4 linked regions of the Astyanax mexicanus genome follow. The protein of the gene in region 1 binds, or shares a complex with, the protein of each later gene. Links are inferred from orthologs where the notes say so. Each region holds a gene or a part of one and is shown in the gene's direction. Other genes may lie near its edges. The genes, in order: vti1b, bet1l, stx4 and sybl1.

The links.
Region 2: vti1b (region 1) and bet1l share a complex: the UniProt entries of both Homo sapiens proteins name them as parts of the SNARE complex. The link is inferred for Astyanax mexicanus from reciprocal best matches to the Homo sapiens genes VTI1B and BET1L.
Region 3: vti1b (region 1) and stx4 share a complex: the UniProt entries of both Homo sapiens proteins name them as parts of the SNARE complex. The link is inferred for Astyanax mexicanus from reciprocal best matches to the Homo sapiens genes VTI1B and STX4.
Region 4: vti1b (region 1) and sybl1 share a complex: the UniProt entries of both Homo sapiens proteins name them as parts of the SNARE complex. The link is inferred for Astyanax mexicanus from reciprocal best matches to the Homo sapiens genes VTI1B and VAMP7.

What each region holds. Positions count from the first base shown.
Region 1 is NC_064414.1:8,057,265-8,064,696, forward strand, and holds the start of vti1b (vesicle transport through interaction with t-SNAREs homolog 1B), read left to right. Parts: upstream 1-4,418; 5' UTR 4,419-4,588; coding exon 4,589-4,685; intron 4,686-6,621; coding exon 6,622-6,680; intron 6,681-7,432. Other genes in the region: rdh12 (retinol dehydrogenase 12), read right to left, coding at 265-420, 528-658, 2,407-2,477. UniProt on the Homo sapiens protein: V-SNARE that mediates vesicle transport pathways through interactions with t-SNAREs on the target membrane. These interactions are proposed to mediate aspects of the specificity of vesicle trafficking and to promote fusion of the lipid bilayers.
Region 2 is NC_064409.1:47,838,345-47,846,065, reverse strand, and holds bet1l (BET1-like protein), read left to right. Parts: upstream 1-4,705; 5' UTR 4,706-4,909; coding exon 4,910-4,931; intron 4,932-6,503; coding exon 6,504-6,589; intron 6,590-6,713; coding exon 6,714-6,770; intron 6,771-6,978; coding exon 6,979-7,146; 3' UTR 7,147-7,611; downstream 7,612-7,721. Other genes in the region: kcnj11l (potassium inwardly rectifying channel subfamily J member 11, like), read right to left, coding at 850-1,057, 1,161-1,430, 1,879-2,115, 2,306-2,464. UniProt on the Homo sapiens protein: Vesicle SNARE required for targeting and fusion of retrograde transport vesicles with the Golgi complex. Required for the integrity of the Golgi complex.
Region 3 is NC_064422.1:28,696,863-28,704,700, forward strand, and holds the start of stx4 (syntaxin-4), read left to right. Parts: upstream 1-4,826; 5' UTR 4,827-5,010; coding exon 5,011-5,040; intron 5,041-5,104; exon of another isoform or gene 5,105-5,675; intron 5,676-7,062; coding exon 7,063-7,170; intron 7,171-7,664; coding exon 7,665-7,764; intron 7,765-7,838. Other genes in the region: si:dkey-220f10.4 (tubby protein), read left to right, coding at 117-229, 325-439, 611-709, 850-1,021, 1,785-1,918. UniProt on the Homo sapiens protein: Plasma membrane t-SNARE that mediates docking of transport vesicles. Necessary for the translocation of SLC2A4 from intracellular vesicles to the plasma membrane.
Region 4 is NC_064417.1:2,196,112-2,203,461, reverse strand, and holds the start of sybl1 (vesicle-associated membrane protein 7), read left to right. Parts: upstream 1-4,344; 5' UTR 4,345-4,480; intron 4,481-5,721; 5' UTR 5,722-5,775; coding exon 5,776-5,921; intron 5,922-6,628; coding exon 6,629-6,686; intron 6,687-6,871; coding exon 6,872-7,009; intron 7,010-7,350. Other genes in the region: polr1d (DNA-directed RNA polymerases I and III subunit RPAC2), read right to left, coding at 3,205-3,246. UniProt on the Homo sapiens protein: Involved in the targeting and/or fusion of transport vesicles to their target membrane during transport of proteins from the early endosome to the lysosome. Required for heterotypic fusion of late endosomes with lysosomes and homotypic lysosomal fusion.

The sequences.
Region 1 (7,432 bases):
TCGTACAAAGGTTTGTATTCATCATCATGTTTCATTACACCCAAAGTCCATTTTACACCGGAATTCCCCTTTAATGCTGCACCACTTAATCTTAACAAGTTTGGAGGAGAACAATAACAATGCAAATTCTGATACAACAGCTAACAGCTAAAATCGACTGCACTAGGTATTGAGGGAGAAGGGTTCCAAACATTTTAACTTGTGATGAAACCTGTTTCTTTTATCAGTCACTGGTGATGTACAAATTGGTGTGTGTGAATTTACCTCTGAGGAATCTCTGTGCAAAGACTCGGATGGAGCGGGTATCAGCCAGGTCCAACTCCCGAACCTCCACCTTAGCCCCACCCACCCGCCTGCGGATCTCTGCGGCCGTGTCCTCACCTTTCTCCATATCCCGACAGGCCAGGATCACCCGTGCACCTGCACAATAACACACACACTTTACATCTACACTTTATTCTCCAATGCTCCTCTTTATATCTTTGTTTTTTTCTACAGTGAAGTGTTTGGCTGGGGTGCTCCCTCACCCCGCAAGGCCAGGTCCACTGCCGTCTCCTTCCCAATCCCGCTGTTCGCTCCTGTAATCAGTGCAGTTTTCCCATCCAAACGTGCTGTGGAGAGACACACTCCGCCTGCTGCGTATTTCCTGCAAACAAACCTTTAGTTTTTTTTTGTAAGTGTGTAGAAGTACATAGTTTTTACTGTCAAATTATACACTATACATACACTACAGACTCATGTTGGATTAACCTCACTACATAACTACTACTTTTTTACTACAAGACATTGCAGATTCATACTGGATTAACCTGACTGTACAATATTTATGTACTATTTTTACAGTAGATTGATTGAAAACACCACATGCATTGCAGATTTTTACTGGACTACAAATATAGGCTGTACTATTATAGGAAGCCAGATAAATTGTGATATATGTACTAGTGCATTTAAAAAAAAAAAAATATCATTGAAAAGTTACTTTATTTCATTAATTCAGTTCAAAATGTAAAACTCGTATATTATATAGATGTATTAAACACAGAGTGATCTTTATTAAGCCTTGTTTTATTGTTGATGATTATGGCTTACAGCCAATCAAAACCCAAAAGTCAGTATTTCAGAAAATAAGAATAATACAAAAGACCAACTAGTGTTTTTGGCAGTGTCCTGCTGGAGAATGAAATCCACATCTCAATAAAAGTTGTCAGCAGAAGAAAGCATGAAGTGCTGTAAGATTTCGTGGGAAAACACTGCACTGACTTTGGACTTGATAATAAAACACAGTGGATCAACACCAGCAGATGACATGACCCTCCAAACCATCACTGATCATCAGTAAATTTTGCATTTCATTTGTAAATCAAGGGAGCAGAGTCTGGAGGAAGAGTGGAGAGACACACAGTCCAAGCTGCAGATTTCATTTTTCAGCAGGAATTGGCACACTGCCCATACTGTCATAAGTATCAATTTGTCTGATACAATATTCTAATTTTCTGAGACACTGATTTTTGGGTTTTCATTGGCTGTAAGCCAAAATCATCAACAACTCTGTGTGTAATCCATCTATATAATGTGTTTCACATTTTAACTGAATTACTGAAATTAAGTATCTTTTCTATGATATTCCTTTTTTTAACAAAGTTTAAAGATTACACATGTTCATTTAATAGTAATTCAGGATTCTGTTATATTAGCTCTTGTAATATTTTTTTGTTTAATTTCAGTCTTGGCAATTAATTTTATACTAACATGAGAAGAATAGAGCCAAACCAACCTCAGTACTTGTGGCAATAAATGTACTAAGACGTTTCACTAAGGTCTCGTAATAAAGTCGTCATTACTTTATTAAAACACTATTTTATATACAATATTTTATCCAGAGCATCATTATAGCCTTCTCTGCCCACCTCCTCTGAACACCCCCACATGCCTCCAGGTGGTACGACCCACACATAATTACCATACGCAGTCCTCTGCACCCAATCAGCCTTCGCCTACACTGTGCATGCATAATTAGCCCCGCCCCCAGGAAGATCTTATTGGCCGCCTTCCTAAACTGATCATATTCAGCGGAGGCGGTTACTATAGTGGTCGTGCACCATTCAACTGAACAAAACCAGCTCTCTCAACCAGTATAATGAGATATACATTTATAAAAAACATAAAAAGATGTATATTAGCTAAATTACAACACACAGCTATATGCTTACTATCTAATATACCCGACTAAGGCCCCTGTCAGCGAGCCTGAGCTTCACACTGTTTACAATTAGAGCACAATTTAGAGCACATTCTCGCTGGATTATACATTTCTATTAAGCGTAAATATGTATATAAATATATTGCGCTTAAATCCTGCTTTAAAATACAGAGAAAGCTCAGCACACGCAGCGATGTGCCTACCTGATGTGGGAGGACAGCAGTCTCAACACTATAGCTACGAATCCGAAACCTGCCACCACGACAGCGAGCATGATCCTTTACAAATAAAAACTCAATAAAAAAAAAACAAGGAGAATTCAGAAATCCTCAAAAACAAGCCTCTCTGCAGTCGTGTGACTGCTGATGCGAATCCGTGGGGCTGTTTAGATTTGGTAACTCCCACTTTCTCTAGCGCCCTACACAGAAAACAGCTGGGAATCATGGGATTGTAGTTTTTGTAGATGGGGACTGTAGTTTTTTAATCAGTTTCAAAGAGTTACTCAGGTATTATACATAGTAGGATTTAAAATACTTCTGTAGAAGTTGAAGTATCAACTCAAGCTTTTTACTCTTTAAGTAAAAGTGTAAAAATACTGCTTTTAAAAATACTTAAAGTGTAAAAGTAAAGGTCATGTAAAGGGGAAAAAATGCCATTAAGGACAAAACCTTGGGACACATGGCCCTATAGTGCAACCCTACTCTATCTAGATGGATAGATTTATCTGGATAGTTTTTTTTAATGATAGAAATCCGTAATAAAAACAAGGTGTAATGAAAGGAGTAGAATATTCTCTGAAAAAATAGTCATCTGAAAGTTATCTAAAAAAAATATTACTCTAGTAAAGTATAGATAACCCAGGTAACGAAGTATGTATATGTATATATATATATATATACTTTTTACTTTATTTTTCTGTATTCTAACAAAAAACTAACTGGAGTTGTAGTGTGTAAAGTATTCTTTAAGCACCTCTCTTAACTGAAAATCATAAAGTATTCAAAAGCATAGTACTCAAGTACAGTAGGTAAAAGTACAGTACTGTGTTACTATGTGTTACTATGTAATTATTACAGACAGCAGCAGCTCACTTTGGTTGCCAGTGGTTTAGACATTAATAGCTGTGTGTTGAGTTATTTTACAAGCTGTACACTAGTGAAAGATCAGTATAAGATCAGCTTGGTGATGAGAAATTTCCTTAAACCTTTTGACAGTGCAGTCCCTGAATTTAATAAACTGCTTCCTTAATTTATTAAACAATTCCCTCACTTTAATAAACAAATTTCTGTTCCTCAATTTAATAAACTGGTCCCTCATTAAAGAAAAATCTGTAGTTAACCTGTGGGGACTAAATGAAGATAATTATTTACTAAATTGAGGAGATAATTTAATAAATTAAATTAATTATTTATCAAATCAATGAAACAAGTTGCCGAATCTGAAAAATATTAATTTGATTGTTTTTTTTAAACAGTACGTTTAAAATATGTTTATAATATGTTCATAATTATACATTTCTTTGAAACATTGAACCTAAGCCTATGTTGAATTTGCCCACTTCCTATTTCAGCCGCTAGAGAGAGCACGGGAGTAAGTCCTCAGGGAATGAATTTTACTTTTAGTACTTCAGTACTACATTTTACAATAAACTACTTGCAATACTTAGGTACAAAAAATGTTTTTTATTACTTCCACTTGTGCTCTACTCAAGTCACTTTTTTTTTATAGAGCACTTTCTCAAGCCTGGGTCTCTAGAACTCAGGTCTGGATAATGCTACACTACAACTGATTGACCTTTTGGTAAGCCGATGCTGGAGGCTTGAAAGGCTTATAACTTGAATTTAAACGTTTTAAAAATCATATGATATGGTTATGTGTTAAGAAAATGTATGAGAAAAGTACATGTTACAGTATAAAATTTGAAAAACACCGTTATTCTCCGATTTAGCTCCATTTGAACCAATTCATTTTAGACTCTTTGATTGAACTACATAGACCACAATGCGCTGCTTTGTTAAGGACGCTGAGAGTCGCCGCAGAAAATGTCGTTACAAATTTCAGTGCAAACTTTAGATTATTATTATTACTTTGTTTAGAAATGTAATATAATATCTGCAGTGTTTTACAGCTCGTCCCCACAGGCCGATCAGTCCGCACTGCGGAGTTTTATTATGCAGGCATGTTCTCAGGGCTCCTATAGTCACGCGGTGGGATGAGGAAGCGGAGTTGATTCGCTGTGTTTATTATTGTGAAGCAGAGAGAGCTGGGAGTTACCGGTGGTGTAAACTGATTTATATAGCGTTATATATGGTTTAGAGCGGCTGATTATCTTTATTTAAGTGTAAAATATTAAGGCCTCTCGGCTGCAGTGAAGAAAGGGGCAAAATGTCGTCGGAGGAGTTTGAGAAACTTCATGAAATGTATAAATCTTTATACGATGAAGTGAAACTGATTCCTGAACGAGTGCTGCGGAGCCACGGCGGTATTTATACTATTTACACCAGCTATTCCATTTATTAATCACCAAAATTATATATTTAGCTAACTAACTTACACAGTTCACAGGTCAGTAAGCAACACCCAGCTTTAACTATATATTCACTGAAATACAACAATCAGAACCTGTAGATAGATAGGTTTCAAGCCTGTTTTTGCCATCCTCTGCCTGCAATTGCATATCTCGGGGCTTTCTACTTATACTGACTATGAACTAGAGGCAGTTTGATAAAGTATTATGACTGAAAAGCCTTTAATGTTTTGTTAGAAAATAATTAAATATATTGAAATAAATCTCCAATGGTGAATGACCCTTGAGAGTTGTTGTGTGGAAACATTTTGCCTGGGGTCTAGCAGGGGTCATCTTTCAGCCTGTACAATTTAACTATAATATCCCAAACAAATCCACGTACAGTAGGCCATTGCTTTTCCTAGTGTTTTTTTGGAATTGATTTAATGAATAATTTGAGTGTTTATAGTGTAACTTGTATTCATTCAGGAAAACGTTCTTGCAATGTATTTTTCAACCCGAATATTTATTAGAAAGGGTTTAAAGTTCAATTGGCATCATAATTGCAAAGCTTTAAAATTGTATCCTATATTGAACCTACGCTGGGCCAGTCCATCACCTTTATATTCAGTTTTATTAGCAAGTCAGAATTGTCTTGGAGGTGTCCTGCGGAGGATACTGTCCTGCGTCCCAGTTTCCGAAGGACTGTCACTCCTTACAGCTAGCAGCACCTTATATAGCCCAAAACCAATGACACTCCCACCACAATGCTCATCTTTAGAAGACGCTACCTTCTAATAACCACTGGAAACCATTGACAACCACTGGAAACCAATGGAAATCTTAGCTTTTTTGTTTGACTTTGGCGTGGACTGTCCTGAGTGTAGGCTGTACTGTTAAATGCCTGGATATCACTGGCAAGCATACTGCAGCTCAATTTTAGGGCTTTGGCTATCTTCATGTAGCCTAGTCCAGTGTTTCTCAACCTTTTTTATATCACGACACCCTTTAAATATATGCGAGATGTCAAGGCACCCCAGTTTAAGGGGGGGGGGGGGGGTGCTGGCGCAGTACTTCAGGTGAGAACTGGGGTGATGTGCTGGCGCAGTACTTCAGGTGAGAACGAGGGGTGTTGCTGGCGGAATTTGACATAAAATAGCGCGTGCATCGCGTGGGGGACAAAAACTTTACAGTGTTTCCCAATTTAGGGGCTGCATCCTTCAGAGGCTGTATTCGAAGACAGATTGCGTCACAGCTGCGCAGTAATCCACCGCCTCTGTGGGTCGCATCCTTCATAGTATGCTGCCTGTGAATTGGGACACACCCCGACACGAGCTGACTCTGGAAAGGAAATATGCACGTGAGGCGCAATATTTTGACGGCACCCCCGATGAAGCCAGACGGCACCCCAGGGTGCCGCGGCACCCTGGTTGAGAAACACTGGCCTAGTCCATCTTTATGTTCTTTTTTTCAGATCCTCAGAGAGTTCTTTCCCGTAAAGTGCCATGTTAAATATCCAGTGGCCACTTTGAGAATGTGTGAGAGCAAAACCACCAAAAATTCACACCTGAGACCTTGTTACACTAACAATTCCATTTTGACTTAAGAGTGTACTCACTTTGGTCGCCAGTGGTTTAGACATTAATAGCTGTGTGTTGAGTTATTTTCAGAGCACAGCAAATGTACACAGATATACAAGCTGTACACTAACTACTTTACATTGTATCAGTGTTTATCTTTAGGTATAACTTAAGCTATAATAAAACTTTGCAAAAATGTGAGGGTTGTACTCACGTTTGAAAGATACTTTAAATGATCTATGTTCTAATATACAATAATGACTATGTATGAAATATATTATGTGCAGTTACTGTAATACAAATTATGTTTGTGTTTCTTTTCTGTTCTTTAGAAGAGAAGAAGAAGTTAGTGAGAGTGTTTGATGAACGTCTTGGGGAGGCAGAGGAAGTGGTGAGTAACTAATTTTACAGCATTTGCAGCTGTTTTTGACTTTTGACATAATGTGAATCTGGCAGTTGTCATTTATGTTATGTCAGAATTACCAATGACTTAATGACTCCTATATGATGATATAGACTACATAATATGTCTGTAAATCTAAATTTTTGGTAAAACCTGCCCAGTGTTTCACAAATAGTATTAATGCGCCCCGTCTGTACCTGTTTGCTGCTTTAACACTGTATTCAACCCAAGTATCAAAGTTTATTTAGTATAAATATAAGAATTTCATACATGCAGTAGAAACAAAAAAAAATGTTTGTGATTTTTTTAATCAGTAACTTACCAAGACCCTGATTTTGTATAAAATAGTAGTGTAACAAAAAGGAAAGAAATGCAACAACAACAGTTTACCACAAAACTAAAGTGTAGCATATAAAGTGCAAAAAAATGAATAAATAACAGTAAATACAGTAAATAGCAAAAAAAAATACAAAATAGACTGCTTTGAAGAACATTACTATTATCACGCTATTGAATTTTTTCTTGTGTCAGAATTTTTGCTGAAATGAATGCTTATGATACGATAAGGCACACCCATATTTACACATGTGCGCTTTATGCTGTCTTGTCTCATACTGTTTGTTCTAATTTGTGTCATGGTCCTGGAGAAACATCATTTCTTGACACTCTGTACTTGTACTGAGATGGAATGACAATAAAAGCCACTGAACTTGATATGCAACTTGTAGTGCAGGAGTATC
Region 2 (7,721 bases), on another chromosome or scaffold:
AGAATCTCACAATATTTGTCCCCATAAATTCTTCCCTTAACACAGATCAGTCGTCCTGCCCCTTTGCAGAAAAACAGCCCAAAGCATGCTGTTTCCACCCTTATGTTTTTGGAATGCAACTCAGTATTCTTCTTTCTCTAAACATGACCAGTTGAGTTTTCTTCTGGATCATCCATATTTTGTTTGCCTTTGTTACTTTGGTCCCAACTCTGCAGGTCATTCTTTAGGTTCCTCTGTGTATTTCTGGGATTTCTGCTCACCGTTTTCATGATCATTTTGACCCTATGGGATGAGATCTTGCGTGGGTCCCCAGATGGAGGGAGATAATTAATGATCCTGTATGTCTACAGTTCTTTAGTCTTTGCCATGGTGGAGCTGAAGTCTGATTGTTTGAGGCGATGGAGAGGTTTCTTTTCTACAGATAACGAGGTCAAACAGGTGCAAATAATACAGGTAAGAAGTGGAGGATGTTACAGGTCTGTGAGAGACAGAAATCTCGCTTGTTTGTTACTGACCAAATACTTATTTTCCACCATAATTTACAAAAGTCCTACAATGGTATTTTTTTCTCTTTTTTCTCAAGTGTAACTATGATGAAAATTACAGACCTCTCTCATCTTTGTAAATAGAAGACAGTGGCCACTGTAAACTCTAATGATAATTGTTGTGCATTAATATGTAATTTTAATTTACTAAGCATATTTTTCATTTTTATTATTTTTTAATATCAATTTAAGAATTTAAGTTTTTATAGCACAACAAAGTAGTGATTTCATTACGTCACATGAATTTCCCTTATATTAAATGCAATGGCATGCATGACATCACACAGGCCAGAAAACAACCTACCTTCCAGAATTACAATGATTTCTAGGTCCTCATTGGGCAGTGACTGGGCAGAGACCTCATAAAGTGGGCTTCCTCTCTCAATAGTGTGACTAATGATCAGTGGTGAGACCAGGAAGATGCCATTGCTCCTGAGGGGGTTTTCCACCTGGATGTCCAGCTGGCAGACTGGAATCACCTCCCCTTCTGCTGTTACTGTCCTCCGAATGACCTGAGCACAGAGTGACAGAACACGATCAACCAACATCCACCTCGTGGAACTAGAGCACCTTTACCTGCAATAGACTATAATAAACAGCTCAGCTCTTCCTCACCTGCAGCTGAATGGTAGCAGAAATTATCATGCTCTTCCTCAAGTCTCCAACACGGAACATGAACGTGGGCCTGCCATTGCGTGGTGCGATGACAGCATTGCGAGAGAAGATGAGTGTCTCTGCTCGTCGATTAGCCTGAGCTGTCTTCATGAACACACAGCCCAGCATAACTGCATTGATGATGAGTCCCAGAATGTTCTGGATGATCAGAACGGTAATGGCCAGTGGGCACTCCTCAGTCACCATCCTCCCACCGAAACCGATGGTCACCTAACATTAAAAATAAAAAATACAAGATTGTTTAGGGTTGCTCAGAAAGCCAACACATTTTTTTCATTGGTTATCATTAATTTTGCCACTTTTTTCATCAGTGAGTAAAATTAAATAGGTAACACATTTTTGTCTGGGTTTAAAAAAAAAATAAAAAATTTTGACTGAACACACTAAACTCTGAACATGTTTAGCATTCTAGAGGACACACAAACAATATTGTTCAGTACAAATTATTCAATCTTTTCACTTATTTAGCAGAATACCAAAAGTGCTCTTTTTTGGCCAAATAATATAGGGTTCTGAACATTTGGTGCATCCCTAGTATTGTTAGGGTTGTTATATGTGCCTTTTCAACTCTATATAGAACCCTTTTGCTATGAGTGTAGACATCTAAATAGTACAAGACTGTCCACCAAAGTTTCAGTCTATGCAGCCATTTGCTCACCTGGACTTCGATCGAGAAGAGGAATGCTGAGGTAAAAGAGTGAATGGCAGTGACACATGGAACATGCCCACGATCATGGGGGTCACGTGGCTCCAGGTCACCGTGGGCAAATGCCAGGAGCCACCACACCATGGCAAAGAGCATCCAGGAACAGAGAAATGCTGAGGTGAAGATGAGCAGCGAATGCTGCCACTTGAGGTCGACCATTGTGGTGAAAACATCCTGGAGGAACCGACCCTGAAAGGAGAAATAAAAGTATGCGAATAATTCATACTGATGCATCTTTATCAAAGAAGAGCTTTATAAAATAGTGAAATACAGACATTTTTCACTTTATCAAGAATCAGTTTAACAGGTTATAGAATGATGTGAATGCATAGCAAAAACAATTTTATAAAGTAATGACTGCGTGATCCAAGTGCTCTACCTGTTCTCGTATGTTCTTATGAGCAACATTGCAGGATCCGCTCTTGGTGATGAAGCGAGCTCGCTGCGATTTGGTCCGGAAACGGTTGGGCTGTGTGGCATCTTCAGCCAGTCTTGTCAGCAGAAATCCATCAGGCAGGAGGCCTTTCCGGGCCAACATTGCTGAGTTTTAGAGGTTTGCTCTTAAAAACTATACAATAAAACACTAAATAAACTACTATTCAGTTTTTTTTTATTAGTTTATCATAATAGTGTCTACTTTAAAGGTTGTTTTATGAAATCAATCTATTTCTATTTGAGAAAAGACTAAGTTACGTTATTAAATGACAAAGTTACAAATTAAATTAGTTATTCTGTTATTCATGGGAAATGCTGTTCTTGAAACAGTAGTTTAATTTCACTGTGCTCAACAATACCAGTGAAACAACAGGTTTGAGTAAAGACCACTACAAAACATAGCTAGGCTATCACTCAAAATACTATGGTTCAATTACTGACAGATTATATCCCAGTTTTTTTTTAATCCAGCTATCCACTCAAGAGTAGAGATATGGAATTACAGCACCAAAGAGAGATTAATATTATTATCTCCAGCTTTAGTTTAACAGCATGAACGTGACCCACTCACATCCAGGTGTATCAGATTTCACTGGATTTAATCTATCCACGTTTACAGAAGCCTTTTTTATTTTCGTCGGTAATAAATCTTACCATTGTTTTACCATAAAAATCAGATAAATAAAAATCGTTAAATCTACGCTGTATTACAACTGAGGCATTACTAATTAAAACAGCAGATTATCACCAGTCTAAACACAGCACTCGACAGGACTCACTTGCTACGTGCGCAGTGTGATATTAACTACAACAACAACAAAATACAGTTTTTATTTAATCACATAAACACTGGCAGCTAGGTTTAGCTTGCTAACATACAAAATCGCCAAGTTGCCTTATCTAGTGCTCTCTGTTTAGCTATCGATACCTAAGAGAGGTCAGATAGCCAGGTTAGCTCGCTTATTTGAATGGATGGTCATCCAGCCGCCATTCGCCATAAACCCCCATCATAGATAAACAATTCCTATGTAAGCTCGAGTTAATAACGCTGAAATACTTAACCCGCGAAATTCGCAACAAAATACAGAATAATTCCAGGAAATAAATGAAGTTAAGATCATCCTCATGCGCGCGAGAGAGCTGTCTGGCGGGTTCTTTACGGAGGATGCTCGCGTTATCTAGCTGAGCATCTTATGCAACGCATCTGTGATGATGATCAGCAGCAGCAGCAGTGTCTCTGAGCGGAGCGCCGCCGCAGCTCCACATCTCATCCCCCAACCAGAGGACCAACATATCCCACAACCCCCCGCGCCTCCTCGCTCAGGATATAACAACCATAGATAGTAATACATAGATGAAACTGGCGTGTCAGCGTGGCCGCCATATTGGAAGAGTCAATCATGCGCCCCCAGTGCATTTATTAGTGAAAGGTGTTTAATACACCTATAATAATCACAAATCTACCAATTTATACCCGATTTTCACACGGTTTGGTTTGTTACAAACAGCAGAGATGTAGTAATGATTCAGGACACTGCCACACATTACGAATATGTGATTTCAAGCTGAAATACTTTATATTATGCTCTTTAACAAAGACAGACATATGGTATGACATATTAATAAGTGTATACATGAATTAATTTTATATTTATATGTACATACATACGCATATATACATGCTTACACATACACATACACACACACACACACAATACTAATAAATGCATTCATGGGTTCATAGTTGACTCCTCCAATATGGCGGCAGGCTATGTAGCGTCTATATATACATGTCTATGCTCTATGTGGCATCTATGTATAAATGTCTGTGCTCAAAACGCCTGGCCAGCAGAAGAGCCTCTGATAGAGAGGAGAATACCCAGTCGAGAATCATTTCCGGGCTTTTTAGGGGGCGCTCCCGGCCGAAAGCTGATTTTATAAAAGTTTTATATTTTTAATTTTCAACAAACACTAATTTCTCACAACAATATCACATGTTTCAGCACCGCACACATGATTTTAAACGCTTTCAAACTGCAGTTACAAACCTTTTAAAGACGCCTTTGTTGAATCTCCATCAAAAGCTCACCAACCAGTCAGACCACAGTAGCAGTAATGCTAGCGAGTTTGTTGTCCAAAAAAAAAGAAAACCATTCAAACATTTCTTAGCCTTTTTTGTAGCAAAATACTCTATTTCTCTTTCTATAATTATGGTAATATCCTGGGTACATAGTTAGACACTATTTTAATTTAAGTTTTTAGCCGTTTAGCTCCACTCACCACATTCATTAAGGACTCCCTCGCGGGCTCCCTCTGGCGGCCAGCGGTAATTCTCTGATATAACAGGAGAGACAGGTATAGTGTGAACTCTCTATAACCCGGCTCTGATCTCACACAGACTCCTGCCGTGTTGTGGATTGTGACGAAACGGTCTCATACGAGTGACTATTGGTATCTGAGTGTCTTTTAAGACTGATTTTATTCAGGTTTCTTCTCCGTCACTGTGATTTAACAGCGGGACTCTCATAGTGAAGGATCGTCTGTAAAGATGGCTGATCACTGGAACAGGGGTGAGTGACACGTCGCTCCTCTTATACAGCAGTTTTTAAAGTTAGAGAGGGCTAACTGGATCTCCTCAGTTTATCAGTTTACATCAAACTGAAATTCACCGTATTTATTCTACTTCTGACACTAAAGTATCAGTTCTTTACCTCTAATGTTCTTCGATCATAATGAAATGCCATTTACACGGTGTATTAGCTCATCTGCGCATTTACACTGGTTGGGTTAGCTAGCTTTAGCTGTGTTAACATATCAGAGGATCCTGTTGTCAAGATTCCAGATTCACTCAAATCCACTGTACAAACATTCACACGAGGCTCTTATAAATTATAATTAGTAATTTCACTGTCAAGCGTTATGTTGTTTAAATTGGGTGAAAAATAGAGCATATAATATAATCTGCTTCTCAAATATGGAGGACCAGAACTGCCAATATAATTAATTAATTAATTAATAAAAAGGAAATGAAGAAACAAAAAAGAAGTAAGGAGTAAACAAACACTAGCTAATTAGTTAATTCATTTATTTTTTATTTTGACATTTCTGGTCCTCCAAAACACCTAAATAAAATATAGACATAAACTGTTCCCTAAATGTTAGAAATCGTTTTCTCATTTTAACCATCTGTTCCTTCTATAAAATTAACTATTTGTTCAGTTAAGAAGGAGTCCTTTTGTTAAATTGAGGAAACAGTTTAATATATTGAGTGAATGTTTTTTTTTTATTAAGGAAATGCTTTATTAAATCAAAATAACATTCTATTAAATTAATGGATTGTTGTAAGTCTCTAAATATTACATTTTTCAAAGAATAAATAAATACATAAAGGAAACACTAAAATAACACATTGTATATGTGTCTCAGATACTTTTGAGACAAAAGCATCAGCTGTTTGCCAAAATGGGAGGGGCACTGGGTGATGGGGTGGGCAGAAGGAGGAGCTGATTGGGCTGAGCAGTGTGCCTCTAATAGCGGTGAGATGTAGATGTTGGACCTCAGTAGGGGGCAGTATTATTGATTGACTGATTTGCAGATTGTGAGTGTCTGTGAACCAAAGTACACCGACACATCATCCTCACCTATAACAGTCGAACCTGAGAGGGTGCTGCAGAGGCAGAAATGATGGCAATAAAAGAGTTTTTTAAAGGTTAGGAAATGTTTATAAAAAAATATATATATATATATATATATGTAGAAGGTTTGTTTTCATTTTAGCTATTAATTTCAGCTATTAATGAAAAAAATATGGTTTGGGGTCCCTTTAAGAGGAAGCACTTTAATTAAACTGAGGAAACAATTTATTAAATTGAGTGAATGGATTTTTTATTTAGAGTGAATGCTTTATTAAATAGGGGGAATCTTTATTACAGTGAACAAAAATATTATTAAATCAAGAGAACAATTCACTAAATTGAGGGAACATTTTTAGTCTCTTAGAATTATTGTCACCTTGATAGAATCACATGTTACCTGCACAAAAAAGGTAATCCAATAATTTTATGGTTAATTAAAAAAAAGTATTATTTACTTTTGTGTTTAACTATAAAATGTATGTGCATCTTTTACCACTGTCTTCCTAGGACATGGGGCTGTAGATGACATGCTGGATGAAGAAAACAAACGCATGGCTGACAATCTGGCAACCAAAGTATCTAGATTGAAGTCGGTATGTTATAATCACTTATATCAGTCAATGAAGACAGTCTGTCTAAATAATTAACAATGTGTTCATGATTGGGCTAAATTTATAAATGTACTTTGTTTTTATTTATCTGTTTTGTCATTCACAGCTGGCATTTGAAATTGACAAAGAGGCTGACGAACAGAATTCATACTTGGATGGCATGGTGTGTGTTTTCTCTGACTCAATTTAGAATTTATCTAAAAAACACTGCTGTAATATATCCTAAGACTAGATATATTATGTTCAAGATCAAATGTATGTTTAGAAAAGTGTTTCTTAGGTCTGAATAGCCAATCTTTTACAGTATAGTTTCATGTAATGGAAACATGAGGTCTGTAAATATGGTAATTTTTTGTATCATCTTCCTTTAGGACTCAAACTTCCTCAGTGCAACTGGACTGTTGACAGGGAGCGTGAAGAGGTTTTCCACAATGGTCCGCTCCAGCAGAGACAACCGAAAGATTTTATGTTATGTATCCATAGGCTTGGTGTTGACATTCTTTTTGCTTTATTATCTAGTCAGGAGAATACAGAACTGAAAAATATTTATATATTATCTTCTCAGTTTTATGAGAAACAAACATGTGTGAATGCAGTACTCTATTCTTCATGTTTACACAAAAACAGTTTTACTAATGGGCTTGCTGGTTCTAAACCTGGTATATTTAAAGGGTGAAGTGAACTGAAAATAATTTCTTTAAGATCTGTCTGTTGTTTTCCAAAAGACTTTATAACTATAAAAATATTTCTTTCATGCATTCCAATCTTATTACAAAATAAATTGTTTTTTAAAGACACTTGTTATGCTTGAAAACATAATGAGTATACCATGGACCAATTTCTGTTCTTCTAAATGTTTTCTCTTTTGTGTGCATACATACATGCTTGATTTGAGTGTGAATGCTTTGATCTTATATGGCTGAACTTTAAATCAAATTGTTGAGTATGTAGCTAAGAGTTATGTTTAATACTGAGAGTAGATATAGTATATAAGAAAAATAACTAATAAAGTTTGTTTTTTAAACATTTTTGTTTTCTTTTATAATTTTTTTTATCTTGATTGAAGTGAATAATTTGTTACAGACTAGAAAATGGGCATGCTGACAGGAACGAG
Region 3 (7,838 bases), on another chromosome or scaffold:
TTACCCTATCCCAATTCCTTAAACTACCTCATAGCATTTTTATGACTGTATTAATTAAAAGTAGTAATTCCTCAGTATCTAATGACAATGTTATTTTTTCATTCTATATTTCTCAGGTTTTTCTCATGGCTGGAAGAAAACGTAAGAAAAGCACAACGTCCAATTATCTGATCTCCACTGATCCTACTGATTTATCCAGAGACACAAGCAGCTATATAGGCAAACTCAGGTCATTAATCTTATCCTTCCATCTGCTTTTCTAACCCTAGTTCTCTTTGCAAAGGAAGAACGTGTTTGTTAATGATTGATTTTTTCTCATTGCAGGTCAAATGTTTTAGGGACTAAATTCACTGTATATGATAATGGAGAAAACCCAGAAAGGAAGCAGTTTATTAAGGAAAGTGAATCACTTCGGCAAGAGCTTGCAGCAATATGCTATGTAAGTTAAACATGTCATAAGGAACTTTGTGGTCAATATTTTATTATAATACTTAAAAACATATAATAAAAAGAAAAAAACATTATTTAATGTATACTGAATTACAGGATGCAGTAATTACTCTTTTTACTTCCATTTTATTTGTCACTGTCATTATTCCCCATCAAACAGGAGAAAAACATTCTGGGCTTTAAAGGCCCCAGGAAAATGACAGTGATCATTCCTGGCATGCATGAGAATGACGAAAGAGTCAGTATTCGTCCAAAAAGCGTAAGTAATGTTTTCTGTAAATCTGCCCTGTATAATTCCATTTCACTTTCATTCTTCCTCACTCTCAGTCTCCCTTACTGTTTCTTTGTGGGCACCTGATCTCACTTCTTCAGCCTCTCTTTAATTCTTCACTCTCGCAGGATATCGAATCTCTCCTCACTCGTTATGAAAATGGAAATAAGGAGAATCTGGTGTGTCTGGTGAATAAGTCACCCAGCTGGAACGAGCAGACTCAATCGTATGTGCTCAATTTCCATGGCCGAGTGACACAGGCATCTGTGAAGAACTTCCAGATTGTTCATCCTGATAACGGTTAGTAGGGGAAACACACACATTCTGCATGTTCTAATACTGTTTAAACAAACCTTTATAGACGTTGCATCAGTTTACATGTGGGGGAACCCAGAGGCAACCTTAAGGAACGTTCCATTACTATTTTAGATTAAGTGAAGTGTGACATGAGCCCTCAAGGTGTGAGATTGAGTTTTGCAGCACAAATTACTGACTTAATGTATTAATGGTTTCAAACCTAGAAGAATATTTTTTTTGTTTTTTCAAACTTATGACATATAAGTTGTGTTTTTACTGAGCATCTATTAACAAGTTTTACCTTTACCTACCTTATTCTGCTTAGCAAGCTAAAGGCTACAAAACCACAGTTGAAAAAAGAGGCTATATCCAGAAATTCCCAGGAATTGTTGTAATCTGGCAGAGACTTTCCTGGGAAACCCTTGCAGTGTGTGGGTGAGCATTATCCTGCTGAAAAATACCTGTTGGAAACCCTCCACAACACATGTGGCTGCAGGATGTTCTGCACATATTGATAAGCTGATAGTTCTCTTTATATCACTACTGGGGTGTCTGACTGTTCAATGGCTCATCAGATAATCACACTAACACTTGGGGCAGTGTGTTGCTCCACAGCAAGGACAGGATATAAATGCTCACCATGAGGCACTTTGAAAAGACACTGAAACCTGGCCATGATAATGTTTTTTTCATGAATGTAAAAAGAGTTATCAGATGTTTGTAAAATAAGCCTGTAATATTTGTTTCTCTCTTCTGTGTTGTCCAGAGGAGTACATTGTAATGCAGTTTGGAAGAGTGGCAGAGGATGTTTTCTCCATGGACTACAGCTTCCCCATGTGTGCTCTGCAAGCATTTGCCATCACTCTGTCCTCATTTGATGGAAAACTGGCTTGTGAATGAACTCACGGCTTTCGTTGTATGAATGTGCTATTTAGGCTACTAGAAGGCACCACATCTGGGGACTTATGGCCTTTGGAGAACTTCAGTAGCAGAAGTTCTCATGTATTCTTGGACAAAATATATATTTATTGTCAGCAAGTTTTGGAGGCAGCAAAAATAATGTGCAATAAGCATAAGCTACAATAGTTATGGGTTATACTCACATTTGTATTTTCTTATTTTTTTATGTTATGACATGTCATTCCATAAAAATAATTACTTTACCGGTGTTTGAAAAATAATAATAAAAAAAATCATGTATTAAAGAGAATACGTCTCGTATGATTTTTGTAAGATTAAATAAACCGTGTACCGTATTTTTCGGACTATAAGGCGCACTTAAAAACTTTTAATTTTCACAAAAATTGACAGTGCGTCTTATAATACGGTGCGCCTTTTGTATGGATTTTACTCGTCAGGTTGTAAGGAGCAGTAAACACACACTCCGTGCAGCGTTATAGAGAGTTTCAGTGCTATACAGAGTCCAGAGCCGTGCAGCTCCGAGGCTGAGCAGCAATAGCATTAGCTAGATGCTAACCGCTAAGCTAGCTAGCTTATTCAGTGAGATCAGTATTATCTAAATTTTACTCGTCAGGTTGTAAGGAGCAGTAAACACACACTCCGTGCAGCGTTATACAGAGTTTCAGTGCTATACAGAGTCCAGAGCCGTGCAGCTCCGAGGCTGGAGCAGCAAATAGCATTAGCTAGCTTATTCACTGTTCAGAGATCAGTATTATCTAAATTTTACCCGTCAGGTGTAAGGAGCAGTAAACACACACTCCGTGCAGAGCAGCAATAGCATTAGCTAGATGCTAACCGCTTAGCTAGCTAGCTTTTTCACTGTTCAGAGATCAGTATTTTCTAAATTTAGCACTTTTAATACTGCTGGAGCAGTATTATTAGAGTTAGATGCTAATCGCTAAGCGTTCACCGTTCAGAGGTGAGTTATCGGCCTGTAAGTCTGTGCTGCTTTGCCTGGCTAGCATTAGCTAGATGCTAAGCGCTAACTCTCTCAGAGGTGAGTTTTATCAGCCTGTAATCTGCTTGTTTACAGTGTTAAAACAAGCTACGGGGGACGAATCGCTAGCTAATATCTCACTGTCTTACCAGAACATGCAGGATTACTCAGTGTAACGCTGTCGTTTAAGTTTGGGTTAACTTTACTAGTTTAGGTGACTAGCTAGCGTGCTAGCGGATAGCTATGCTAACGCTGGTGCAGCAAGCCTTAGTGGACATCTGGAAATCTAAGCTTACTGTAAATAAACTGAAGCACGTTACTCACCCAAAAAAACAGTTTTCAGGAGAGGAATCTGTGTAGATTAATATCCAGCACTCGTTTGACTTTGAAAGAGCTAGATTTATATATACTGAGACGCTCCACCGGCAAGCGACCACCCCCGGTGGGGGAAGGGAAACATGGCGCCACCCCTGTTCACTTTGATATAGGCACCCTTTCTAGTGTCACTTAACGCGCCTTATAATGCGATGCGCCCTATGTATGGAAAAATAGCAGAAAATAGGCGTTCTTTGATAGTGCGTCTTATAATACGGTGCGCCTTATAGTCCGAAAAATACGGTATATCATTGCTGTTCAAGGAAAAACGTGCATCTTCAAAACAGCAATGTTACAGAAGAGAGATAAAACATTCTTAACTTCAATGAAAGTAAAGTAAAGTAATTTAACAGCTGTTTGATTATATACTAGCTCTAAAAACAGAATTTTGACACTGCCAGAACAAGACCTTCTACATTTTTCTTGTTTTTTGTTAACTAGTTAACACGTTTTAATATGTTTATTTAAACTGTCATTTACACTATACATTTTATGATAAGTTAATACAAAGTTTTTTTTGTAATACAAAGTATTTGCAGAAATAAAACAGTGTGAAGTTTGTGATGTCACAGATGTCAAATGTTACTTTTTTAGGGAGCTGGTTATCCCAATATGACAGGGTGGACAGGCAATTTTTGGCCATGTTTAAATAGCTTGATATATTTTTATTATTAATTACTACATTTTTCATAAATATGTTATTTAACCCCTAAATTAATGATTCCTGGCAGCACTCTGGATATGGCAAAACAACTCGCATAGAAAAACTACAGAGCCCCTAAGGTGACATCATGTATAAAAAAAAAGATGACCACGACTATGGCCGTGACTTGAAAAATTGTGGCCACGCATTAGGATCTTGTTTCCAAGTTTTAATAACTTTTGTCCATGCAGACTTAATTATTTTATTCCCACTCCTTTATAAGTCATGGCCACGCATTGTACAAAATGTACAAAGAGTGCTTTAAAGTTAAATCTTGGGAAAGTATTAATACACAGTGTCTATATGACATTTAAAGAACTATGCTGCGGACACAAAAGGAAGGTTATATTATAAAGCTCTGGAAAAAAATAAAAGACTAAAATAAAAAATGATGGGTTTCTTTGATTTTACCAAATTAAAAAAAACTCTGTAATATAATCAAGAGGAAGATGGATACTCACAAGCCATCAAAGTAAGTTGAACTGCTTGAATTTTAGCATCAGGAGTGGCATAACGTTATCCAAAAGCAGTGTGTAAGACTGGAGGTGGAGAACATGCCAAGATGCCTGAAAACTGTAATTAAAAACCATTTTTGATGATTTTTTTTTCTTTTAAAACTTTAAGAATAGTTACTTGTTTTCTCTGCATCATTTAAGGTTTGAAAGCTCTGCATCTTTTTTTGTTATTTCAGACATTTCTCATTTTCTGCAAATAAATGCTCCTAATGACAATATTCTTATTCGGAATTTGGGAGATAAATCAGAGAAACTGATTCAGAAACTGAAGTGTTACAGTATTATTGTATGCTGACCTTTATGAGGGTTTAGGGCGTGAGGGCAGGGCTCTCAGTAGGTGGAGATGGTGTGCCTTTAATGGTGGCTGTGTCACACACTGAGGAAGAGCCGTTTCTTTTTGACTTTGAATGGAAACTCCCTTCTTCTGTTGTTGATGTCAACAAAGTTAGTGCGTTAGATGAAGAGCCCGAGTCTGTAGAGAGGGTTTAAACAAGGAGCAACGATGCGAGACCGAACCAAAGAACTGGGAAACGTGAGTTAACTAACTGATTAGCTTAAACTTTTCACTGCAGCCCTGCTGAAACTACTGGAGCCCGTCAGAGAGCTAAACTCAGGGAGCCTAGCGCTAGTGGACTTAGCAGGTTAGCTGGAGGCTAGCTAGCTCTGCTGTCATGTAGCATTAGCTGGCTAAACAACATTGCAGCTAATGTGACATTATAACATATTTATGTAACTATGGGGTATTATCCTCGTTAAAAATCTTAAACGACAACTATATTAAAATATTTAGCTGTGCAGAAATGTATTAGAATGTAGCAAACTATCTAAGTAGTTAGCTAGCTAAAAAGCTATCTAGCAAGCTAGCTAAGCTAACAAGATAGTTACTCTGGCAGGCTAGTATGTGGGTTAGTTAGCTAACCTAAATGAGTGGAGTGTATTTTACGGTTCTCTGAAGATCACTAACCTGCTGTTACTCTGATTTTCTGTTCTTTTTGATTAGTTATTTTGCTCGTGTTCAAGCATATCCAGGTCTGTCACACACATATACATGATTTTTTAAGAGGAAAGGAAATCTAAGAGCTGCCACAGAATTTCCACATCCGTTTTAACCTAGAATGTTTTGGGACCAAGGATTTTATTTGCTTAACAGGAAAACCTCCACAGCCTGTGAGTAATTTGTATATAATTGTAGCTGTATAAACACTCTTGTGCAGTGTACATTTAACTATCTGGTTTTCTGAAGGGGAACAAAAATCTTTAGTATTCTACTAAAAAGCTAGCATGTATAGCCTAAACACATTTTAAATTGTAGTTAAATATGTTAAATAAAGCTAGTACACATCAGGTAAAATATGTTGAATTTTTAAGATTCTTTTTATTAATTATTATATTATTATTTAATTATTATTTATTTTTTTTGGAAAATAAAAATGTATTTGGATTCACAATAATTACACAACAATTACACACCTGCACACACACAACCACTACTCGCATATGTACACTATGCTGTTGTTGTTGTTCATGAGATGCAGCATTTTTTTCAACAACAGCTTCACCACTTTTTCCTTTGTGCAGGTTTTAGCACTTACAGACCTGCATGTGAGCAGATCTCAACCTCCACTGTTCCACTGAACTGCCAAAGCCTGCACTGTACAAACCACAAACTGAACTTTTCTAGTATATTTTTTCTGCTTGTGGGCATTTACTTTCATTTTTAAATCTTTGGACAGTGGTCTAGAAAAAAAAACATGTTTGCTAAATGTTAGTCTTAAGGTTAGTCTTAAGAGATAATTTCTAAAGCTTGGAAATATATTTTAAGTGACTGTTCTGAATGACAGTTGGTCAAAGGCCTAGGGACTGATTTGGTTATCCAGGTTTGAGATTTGTCAAAAAAAAAAGAAAACCTCCTGTGCAGTGGCAGTGGTAGGTTGCCAGATTCTTGCACAGTTTGCTAACCATCTGCTTTACAGATCTGCTAACCCTGGCACATAACATGTGTTGAATCAGGTGTGTTTGATCATGAAAATGCTCAATGCAATCTGGCACTCTGGAATTGCATACACGTGTGCAGCATTGTGCAGAGGCTATGTTGATGTTTTTGTATACAGCTGTATATATTTATTGTTGTATGGTGTTTTGGGGCGTGTTTATAGCGCGAGTGTGGGGCAGGTTTTTGCTGAATCAGTGTTGCTGTTAGCATTGTGTGTGATAAAGAAGGAGACGTAATATATAGTACAAAACCCTCCTAGGGGTACAGGGTGTTGTGGATGGACATTGATCATAGTGTTTCTTAACCATGTCAGAAGACATGTCTAAAAAATGCATAAAACTGTATTCTTACACTTGTTAACATTTTATTGTTGCCAAAATTGTTAGAGCATACAGAGATAATGCCCTTTGTAGCCTTCTTATTTACCTCATATCTGTTTATATATAGTACTATATTTTAAGTGTTTAGTTCATTTACTTGGTCATTTGTTGCTGTAAACATTAAAATAAGGGAACTAATCTGTAGCTCTTCTTTACCTCATACATTTCCATGTCCACATAGCCTGCAGAGGGTTCAGATGAAGATGAAGAAGGCACAGCCCTCATGATAAAACCAGGCACTGGAAACTCTGGAAAGGAAGATAAAGATAATGAGGCTTTCTTCAGAAAGGTAAAGCTTGTAAAACATTTTAGCACATGTATTTAACACAAATGGTAAGCAAAGAGCACATGTAACTCTTTCTCTGTCAGTTAAGATAAACCAAACAAACGCATTGTTACAACAGTCTCACATTTAATTAATTTCATCTTAATTATCAGTTAGAGTTTTAAGTGAAATGTGATTTTATTTATTATAATCTCAGTACTAATAAAATAGAGGTTTTAGTTCAGTTATGGTTAAAAGTTTACAAGTGTGCAATAAAACACAGGTGCAGGACCCAAACAAATACATCAGTGAAAAAGCCAAAAAAGTGTCCACAACAAGAGGACTTGTTTATTTATTTGTCTAGAAGTGAGAACATGACAATATGAATAAATAAGCGAATCTTCTTGTTCAACAGTATGAACTGCTTTGGCTTTTTAATTTTTAAATTTTTTTTTTTTTTTTTTTTTTTTTTTAATTTTACAACTTTCCATCCTAATATTGTTAATCTTGCTCTACAGGTCCAAGAGATCCGAGAAGGCCTTGAAACTCTTAAGAAGAAAGTGGCTGAACTGGAGAACAAACAGAAAACTGTTTTAGGGGTGGCACTGCCAGATGACAGTTAATATCTCTATAATTTCTTATTTAATATAATTTCAGCCTATTATTTGTGTATCTATTCCAGTAACACTTTA
Region 4 (7,350 bases), on another chromosome or scaffold:
AGAGCATTTATTTACAAAAAAATATAAGAAATGGCTGAAATAACAACAACAACAAAAAAAAGATGCAGAGCTTTCAGACCTCAAATAATGCAAAGAAAACAAGTTCCTAATCAAGTTTTAAGAGTTCAGAAATCAATATTTGTTGGAATAAACCTGGTTTTTAATCACAGTTTTCATGCATCTTGGCATCATGTTCTCCTCCACCAGTCTTACACACTGCTTTTGGAAACATTCAAGCAGTTCAGTTTGGTGGTTTGATGGCTTGTGATCATTCATCTTCCTCTTGATTATATTCCTGAGGTTTTTAATTTGGTAAAATCAAAGAAACTCATCATTTTTAAGTGCTCTCTTTTATTTCCAGAGCTGTATAAGATCAGTAATATCAGTTCTCTATATCTGATGGAAAAGCTCATTTAATACACTTGGTGGTCAAAGAACTAAACGGCCTCCAGTGCTTTGGAAACACCTGCAGTGTTCACAGTCTGCATGATTCTTCATGAAGTGAGGAACAGAAACTCAGTAATGCTTTAAGACGTGACTGATGAATTACAGGCCTATTATAAATGAACACAGTCAGCTGCTGTTTCTAAACAGGAAAGGAGGGAAAGAGAGGAGTGAGACGACTCCACTGATCAAATGCCAGTTCTATTGTTTTGTTTAGATCAGGAAAGAGGTGTGTTCTGCTTTCAAAAACTCAGTGAAACAGTGATAAAGAAGGTGGATGAAGGGAGCAGCTGATTAAAAACCCCATTAACAGAACAGGATAAAATCCTCTTATCATATAGAGACTGTTTGAAGTCTCTAATTGTGGGGAAATTAGACGGTCTGTGCAAAACTACAATCTCAGCATCAAAGTCTAGAAAACCATGTTATCATTTTTTTGTGGCATATTGCACGTAACTGTGATAAAGGAGGAATAAAAATAGCACACGGAGGCCAAATAAAGGAGTATTATTCTTTCTAATTCAAAACTGCAAAATTGCCTGCTCGAAATATGCATTAGTATATGATTGAAAATAAGATATGTAGAGAATTTTGGTGTAAAAAGCTTTAAAGTTCTATGTAGGGCAAATATATTTATATTTTTAAGATTTATCACTTTTCTCACTTTATAATGATTCAATTACAGCATGTTCATCAGTGGCTTTAAGTCAGTATTTATTTTAAATACTTTGCTTAATTAAAAACTTCTATTTTTTTTATTTTCCTTTTATATTCATTTTAGAATACTTTAGCATTAATTGGTGTTCATTTTTTCATTGCCTTTATTTATATAATTGGTAAAAATGCAAGTTATTTGCTTTTATAGTGTATTTATTTTTTACAGATACACCGATACATCTTTATTTTTATTTTAAAATAAAAATTAAGATATCTGTTGTAAATTCATCTGCATGTGTGTTTTCATTTACTCACTTGCAGAGGGTGTTTTGGGGCCACATATACAAAGACCGGGATAAGGTAATAAACGTTTTATATTTTGTTTATAGATTTTATTGCACTAAAAAGAATACATTTCTCATTTTATTCACAGTATACAAAACAGACTTATTACACATTGTTTACAGTCTCCTCCACAACTATACATGCATAACAAGTAAAACACGTTTGACCCTGAACTACACATAAAGACACACACTGTTTTGACAATTTACATAATTTAAATTTTATAATAATCTAATTCTACCATATTGAGCTTTTATATGTGGTAATTAACTTTCAGTGCTGCGCATTTTAATAATTATACACTCAGTATCTTCTACAGCACGCCGCCCCCTAGTGGTAGAGAGGTTAAACTGCATCAGTAACATATCTTCTCTTTCTAAACAAATGTGTATTATACACTATGTATTATACGATCAGTCCAGTCAAATGTGTACACACCTCTTGTGTGTAATAATGTATCTAAATGTAATATAGATAAGATAATAGGGTAAAAAGTCTAGTCTAAACCTAGTCTGCCTGGTCTAAACCATACCATTATTACGGTCTCTCTATAAAAAAAATAACAAAAATAAAAAATAACAAACAAAAAAAAAATAGAACGACCAGCATTATAAAATAAATCATCATGATGTTTAGAAATATCAGCTGACTGTCTGCAGTCTGTGCTGTGTTCATTTATAATAGACCATTAATCTTCAGTTTTATTAATCACAGAATTGCTGTTGTGTGACATTTTTAGTTTGTTTATTTAAGTAAAGATGCATATTTAAATGTTTATTTAAACTTGTTAATTTTGTGATAAAAATGGCTTTTGATGGAAAAATGGAAAAAAAAATTCGATACTGTTGTTTTAGTAATAATTACAAACATATTTAAAAAACCTTTAAGGGACAACTTGTAAATATCAGTTTTGTTTTTTTTACTGCATTGCCAAAGTATCTGATCGGCACTCTGTATCGGCAGAAACTCAAAATCAAATGACTCGGACTCAGGGCATAAAAAATGTGATAAGGACATTCCTACTAAATGTGGCTATTTAGAAGAATCTAGAACTGTGGTACTTTACCAGCCTTAAGATTTTATACCACTATATTTGCATTACTGCTTATATAGGTTCTGTTTACAATGGTACTGTCATTTGTGTATCTTGTATCCCATGTCTATGTCTGTAACCCTGTTGTATTGTACATTTAGTGTCTCTCATTCTTTATATTTTATTTTTATTTTTATCTTGCTGCATTTGTTGTAACTTTAGGAAGGAGAGTAGTAATTTTAATCCTCTGTATTTTCTGTAAATATGCAGAATTGACAATAACACTTTTTGATTTGACTACATTTAGTACTGTGAAATACAAAGCATTTCAGGGTGGAAGACCAGGTGACAAACCAAACGGCATACAGTTTTCTGTACAATTTTGAGCATCCAGAATGTGAGCTATGGTTTATTAAAGGTTCAAACTTAACATCAACGTTGTCATTTAACGTTGAAATGCCAGCATGGTTGGTTAAACTATGGGTGATACATTGCTTTAAATATTTGGGAACCACATATCTACAGTTTAAAACATGTTCTGGTTTGTTTAACACGTTTTGTTTACAGAATAATTCTGCATGTGTTCCTGTATAGCCTTAATACAGTCTTCAGCATTAAATTTACAATGTAAAAATAATATAAAAAGAAACACAGTGAATCAGAAGAGGTGTCTAGTTTTTGTCTAATACTGCAGATTATATAACGTAAATATATATTAATCCTACCATCTCCAGCACGCGCTTCTTCTCTGTATCTGCTGCGGCCATGCTCGCGTTCTGGACCGTGGCACGCGTGTCGCAGCATTATGACGTTCCGCTCAGAGGAGTGACGCGTTCTGTTATTATAGCTGCAGCAGAAACATCAGCTTAAACTGCTTTAATGCAGCCAGGAGGGAATAATAATTTTTTTTGTAATTGTTATGTGTGCATGCGCGTGCTGCTCGTCTCGGCGCGGGGACTTTTTAATAAAAATAATATATTAAAAAACAGGTGTCACTCAAACACAAGCACGGGTTTGTTTACGGGACGGGTAAAGGCTGGCGCAGGTTGATGATGAAAGTTATGGTCAGCCACCAGAGAGCGCTATTCGTATGAGTGCCGATGGAGTAATAGTGAAAACAGATTATATTAAAAAAATATGAGTTTATATATTTTTATTTATTTAAACTAAACAGTGTCAACACAGAACGATATAAAATGTTTCATTAGCACCAGCGTATTTGTAAAGCTTTAAAACTCTAGTTATAAGGCTTTAAAACATTTAAAGTGCTCTGGTTGTGACTCCCAGAGGCATACTCAGTAAATATTTTATCCATAAAATAAAATGTACAAAAAAATCGGACCTATTTAGGCCTTATTTACTCTTACATATATTAAATTCAATATATACAATGTAAAAAAATCGTTCTAAATTAATGAACATTTTGAGAAAATTTCATTTTGTTTTTTGGAATTATGCATATGTATATATCTTTAATAAAATAGTTCCATTGCTGCTCTGTTTGTAGCTGCACTGTTTGGCTTGTAAGCGCTGCATCATTTCTAGATTATCTGTATTTGGCAGAGTAATACATGGAGAGCTTCGGTTACAGTGCATTATCGGCTGATAACAGCACTCATAGAGTGCTTCTCAAGCAATCACACTGCAGGGTTGGAACTAACTGTGGAATAATGCTAAATAAAACTGTTAATGCATCCCTAGGCTCTGTCAATTTTGTCACATGTTTAATTTGCGTTTAAAAAAATACACAATACATTTTCCAGATTAACTGCATGCGTTAACACGTTAATTTTGACATCCCTAAATATAATATAATTTCACCCACTTCAGAAAAAACTACACTGAACCTGCGGTTGAACTACATTTCCCGGCAGCGCAGCGGAAGCTCGGGGTCTGGGTGAAGCTGGGCGATGCGGAAAGAGCTCGCAGGAGCTGTGGAGGATTGTTTTCATGACTACAGCGTGTGGATGGACTCATATGCGTGATTTAACAGCGTGACAGGTAGCTGTATTTTCTGTTTATATGTTATTCTATATTTGCTTTATATAAACTAACAGCTGGATGTAAATATAACTGTGTTTGTTTGTTAGTTAGCTGAGTAACGCTGGTAGAGTTGGTAGAGTGTTTTGTGATTAGGTTGATCGCAGGGATGTGCGGTAGATACAGTTCAAGTGCTGTAATATTTTGTATTATTGCAGTATTATTTAGATGCCATCTTTATGTAGCTGATTACTGAGGAATTTAGGAGGTGGTTGGTGGGGTGCTGGCGGGGTTAGTGAAGGCAGATCGGGGCTGGAGTGTTAAAGAGAACGGGTGGAGGATCTGGGAGAATCTCGCAGCTTCCAGAGGCTGTTGTTGTGGTAGCTAACCTAGCTAATGCTAATGCTAACGCTATGTGTTTCGGTTTCATTATGTCCGTGGTGTGTTTTATATCATAGCCTGTAGATAAAGTTAGATAGTGCTGGTAATAGGGTTTCTTTGTGACGAGAAAAATGCGCTATTTTTGGTTTTAAACACTGTCGGTCTCTAACGCTGCTAGCTAGCGTTAGCTATCATATTAGCTTGTGACTCATCAGGAGCTATAACTAACATTAGCTTATTTAACCCTAGCTAACTAACTAGCTAATTACCACAATTGTGTAAACGAGATGTAATTTCGCGTACCTGCCCCTAATAATGATTAATACAACATGACAAGCTGTTTTAGTCTGTGGTCTAACTTATTCTTTACTCTCATTTTAGGTTACAGCTCTAATTTTATTTGCTACTGCTAATGATAACATAACTACATGACATGTGTAGACATGTTATTATTAGCAGTAGTAAAGAAAAGTAAAGCAGCATAAAGTTATCCAAAAGCAGTGTGTAAGACTGGTGGAGGAGAACATGATGCCAAGATGCATAAAAACTGTGATTAAAACCAGGTTTATTCCTCCAAATATTGATTTCTGAACTCTTAAAGCTTTATGAATATAATCCTCTTTTCTTTGCGTTATTTGAGGTCTGAAATCTCTGCATTTTCTGGAAATAAATGCTCTAAATGACAATATTTTTATTTGGAATTCGGGAGAAACGTTGTTGGTCGTTTATAGAATAAATCATATACCTATAAATAGCAAAATCAGAGAAACTAATTCAGAAACTCTTATTTTTTTTGCAGAGCTGTATGTGTTTTAATATTGAGACATAGAACAGGCAACAATGTTGTGGTGTAGACTTATATTTAACATTTTTATCTACAGCACCTGCAGCAGTTTTTAGTCAGTAATTCGGACCTCATCACCCTCGTCCCTGCTATGGCAATCCTCTTTGCTGTGGTGGCTCGTGGAACAACCATACTGGCCAAACATGCCTGGTGTGGTGGAAACTTTCTTGAGGTGACAGAGCAGATTTTGGCCAAAATCCCGTCCGAAAACAACAAACTCACCTACTCCCATGGCAGGTAGGATGAACAGCCTACAGACTGCAGGCATTAGATTTTTTTTTCATTTTTGCTATTAAAATGTCTAGTAGTACTAAGACACAGCAAGTTTCTTTATTTAAGGTGAATTCCATCATATTTCCATTTGGAAAATTTACAGATTTTGATTCTTTACGATGGTGGTGATGAGAACCAGGTGTAGTGATATCTGATGCACATTCAAAAAGTCTCTACAATTAATGCATGTAAATAATGCTAAATGCTAAATAATAATAATAATATAACAGTGTCTCAGGCATGAAGCAGCATATCACAGCTGTCCACTGGAAAAGCATGTAGCTGCATTTTTTTTTTTGTCAGGTTTTACATTTTTCGGTCCATTGTTTGAAACCTGTATATGCTCTGTACATTCTAAGTGTAGATGATTTTTGCTTTCACCACTGTAGAGATACATGTTTTTCATTGCACAGCAAGGATATGCATAGCTATTTAATATTACAGATATCTGTAAGGAAGCATTTAAATGCATTAATTTCTTAAGAAATCTGGTTTCTACTAATGCAAAGAAGAATTATGGTACTCTGTAATTCTGTATGTTTCTCTTGAATAGCAAATTTCCTACATTTAGAGGTTGAATTTTTGTAAATGTGGAGGATTCTCCTTTGATATTGCCTTTTTCCTCCAAGTGAACTTTGCTAAATTATTGCCGTGGCTCTTCTCGATTTCAGCTATCTCTTCCACTACGTCTGTCATGACAGAATCATCTATCTATGTATCACAGATGATGTAAGTATGAATCCCATCCTGATTGACTTTTGTTCTTGAATGTTCTGCAGCTAAATCTGTGATCAGATCATTAACATTAAATCCTGATCATGCTTATTATTAGTAAACTTGAGTCTAGAGTGATTTGTTTTACATCATATATGAATGTCAGTGAGTGAGGTTGTTTTGTGTGCCCTTGTGTGCAGGATTTTGAAAGGTCGCGTGCGTTTAGCTTCCTCAATGAGGTGAAGAAACGTTTCCAAACCACCTATGGCTCCCGGGCTCAGACAGCTTTACCCTACGCCATGAACAGTGAGTTCTCCAGCACTCTCGCTGCACAAATGGTAAGTTGCATCAAACAGTTTATGTTATACATTTATAAAAGTATACTTCCTCAGGTTCCACCTTTCTCTTAATGTTGCTGTTTAGTTCCAGAGAAGAAGTCTTGTATACTTGCTTTCACTTTTCAGATGAAACAGTTCTCTCAAGTTATTATTATTATTAATTTAACTAGGGATGCACTTATTTTTTTCAAACGGAGGGGAAGCATTTTAATTTATATTAAGCAATGACAAATGTATCAATCATATTGTAGTGTTTCCTCTAATATTAAGATTTTTTTGTAGTGGTTTGAATGAACCCTGTAGGAGAAACTACAAGGGCCAGACTTAAACCTTCTACACAC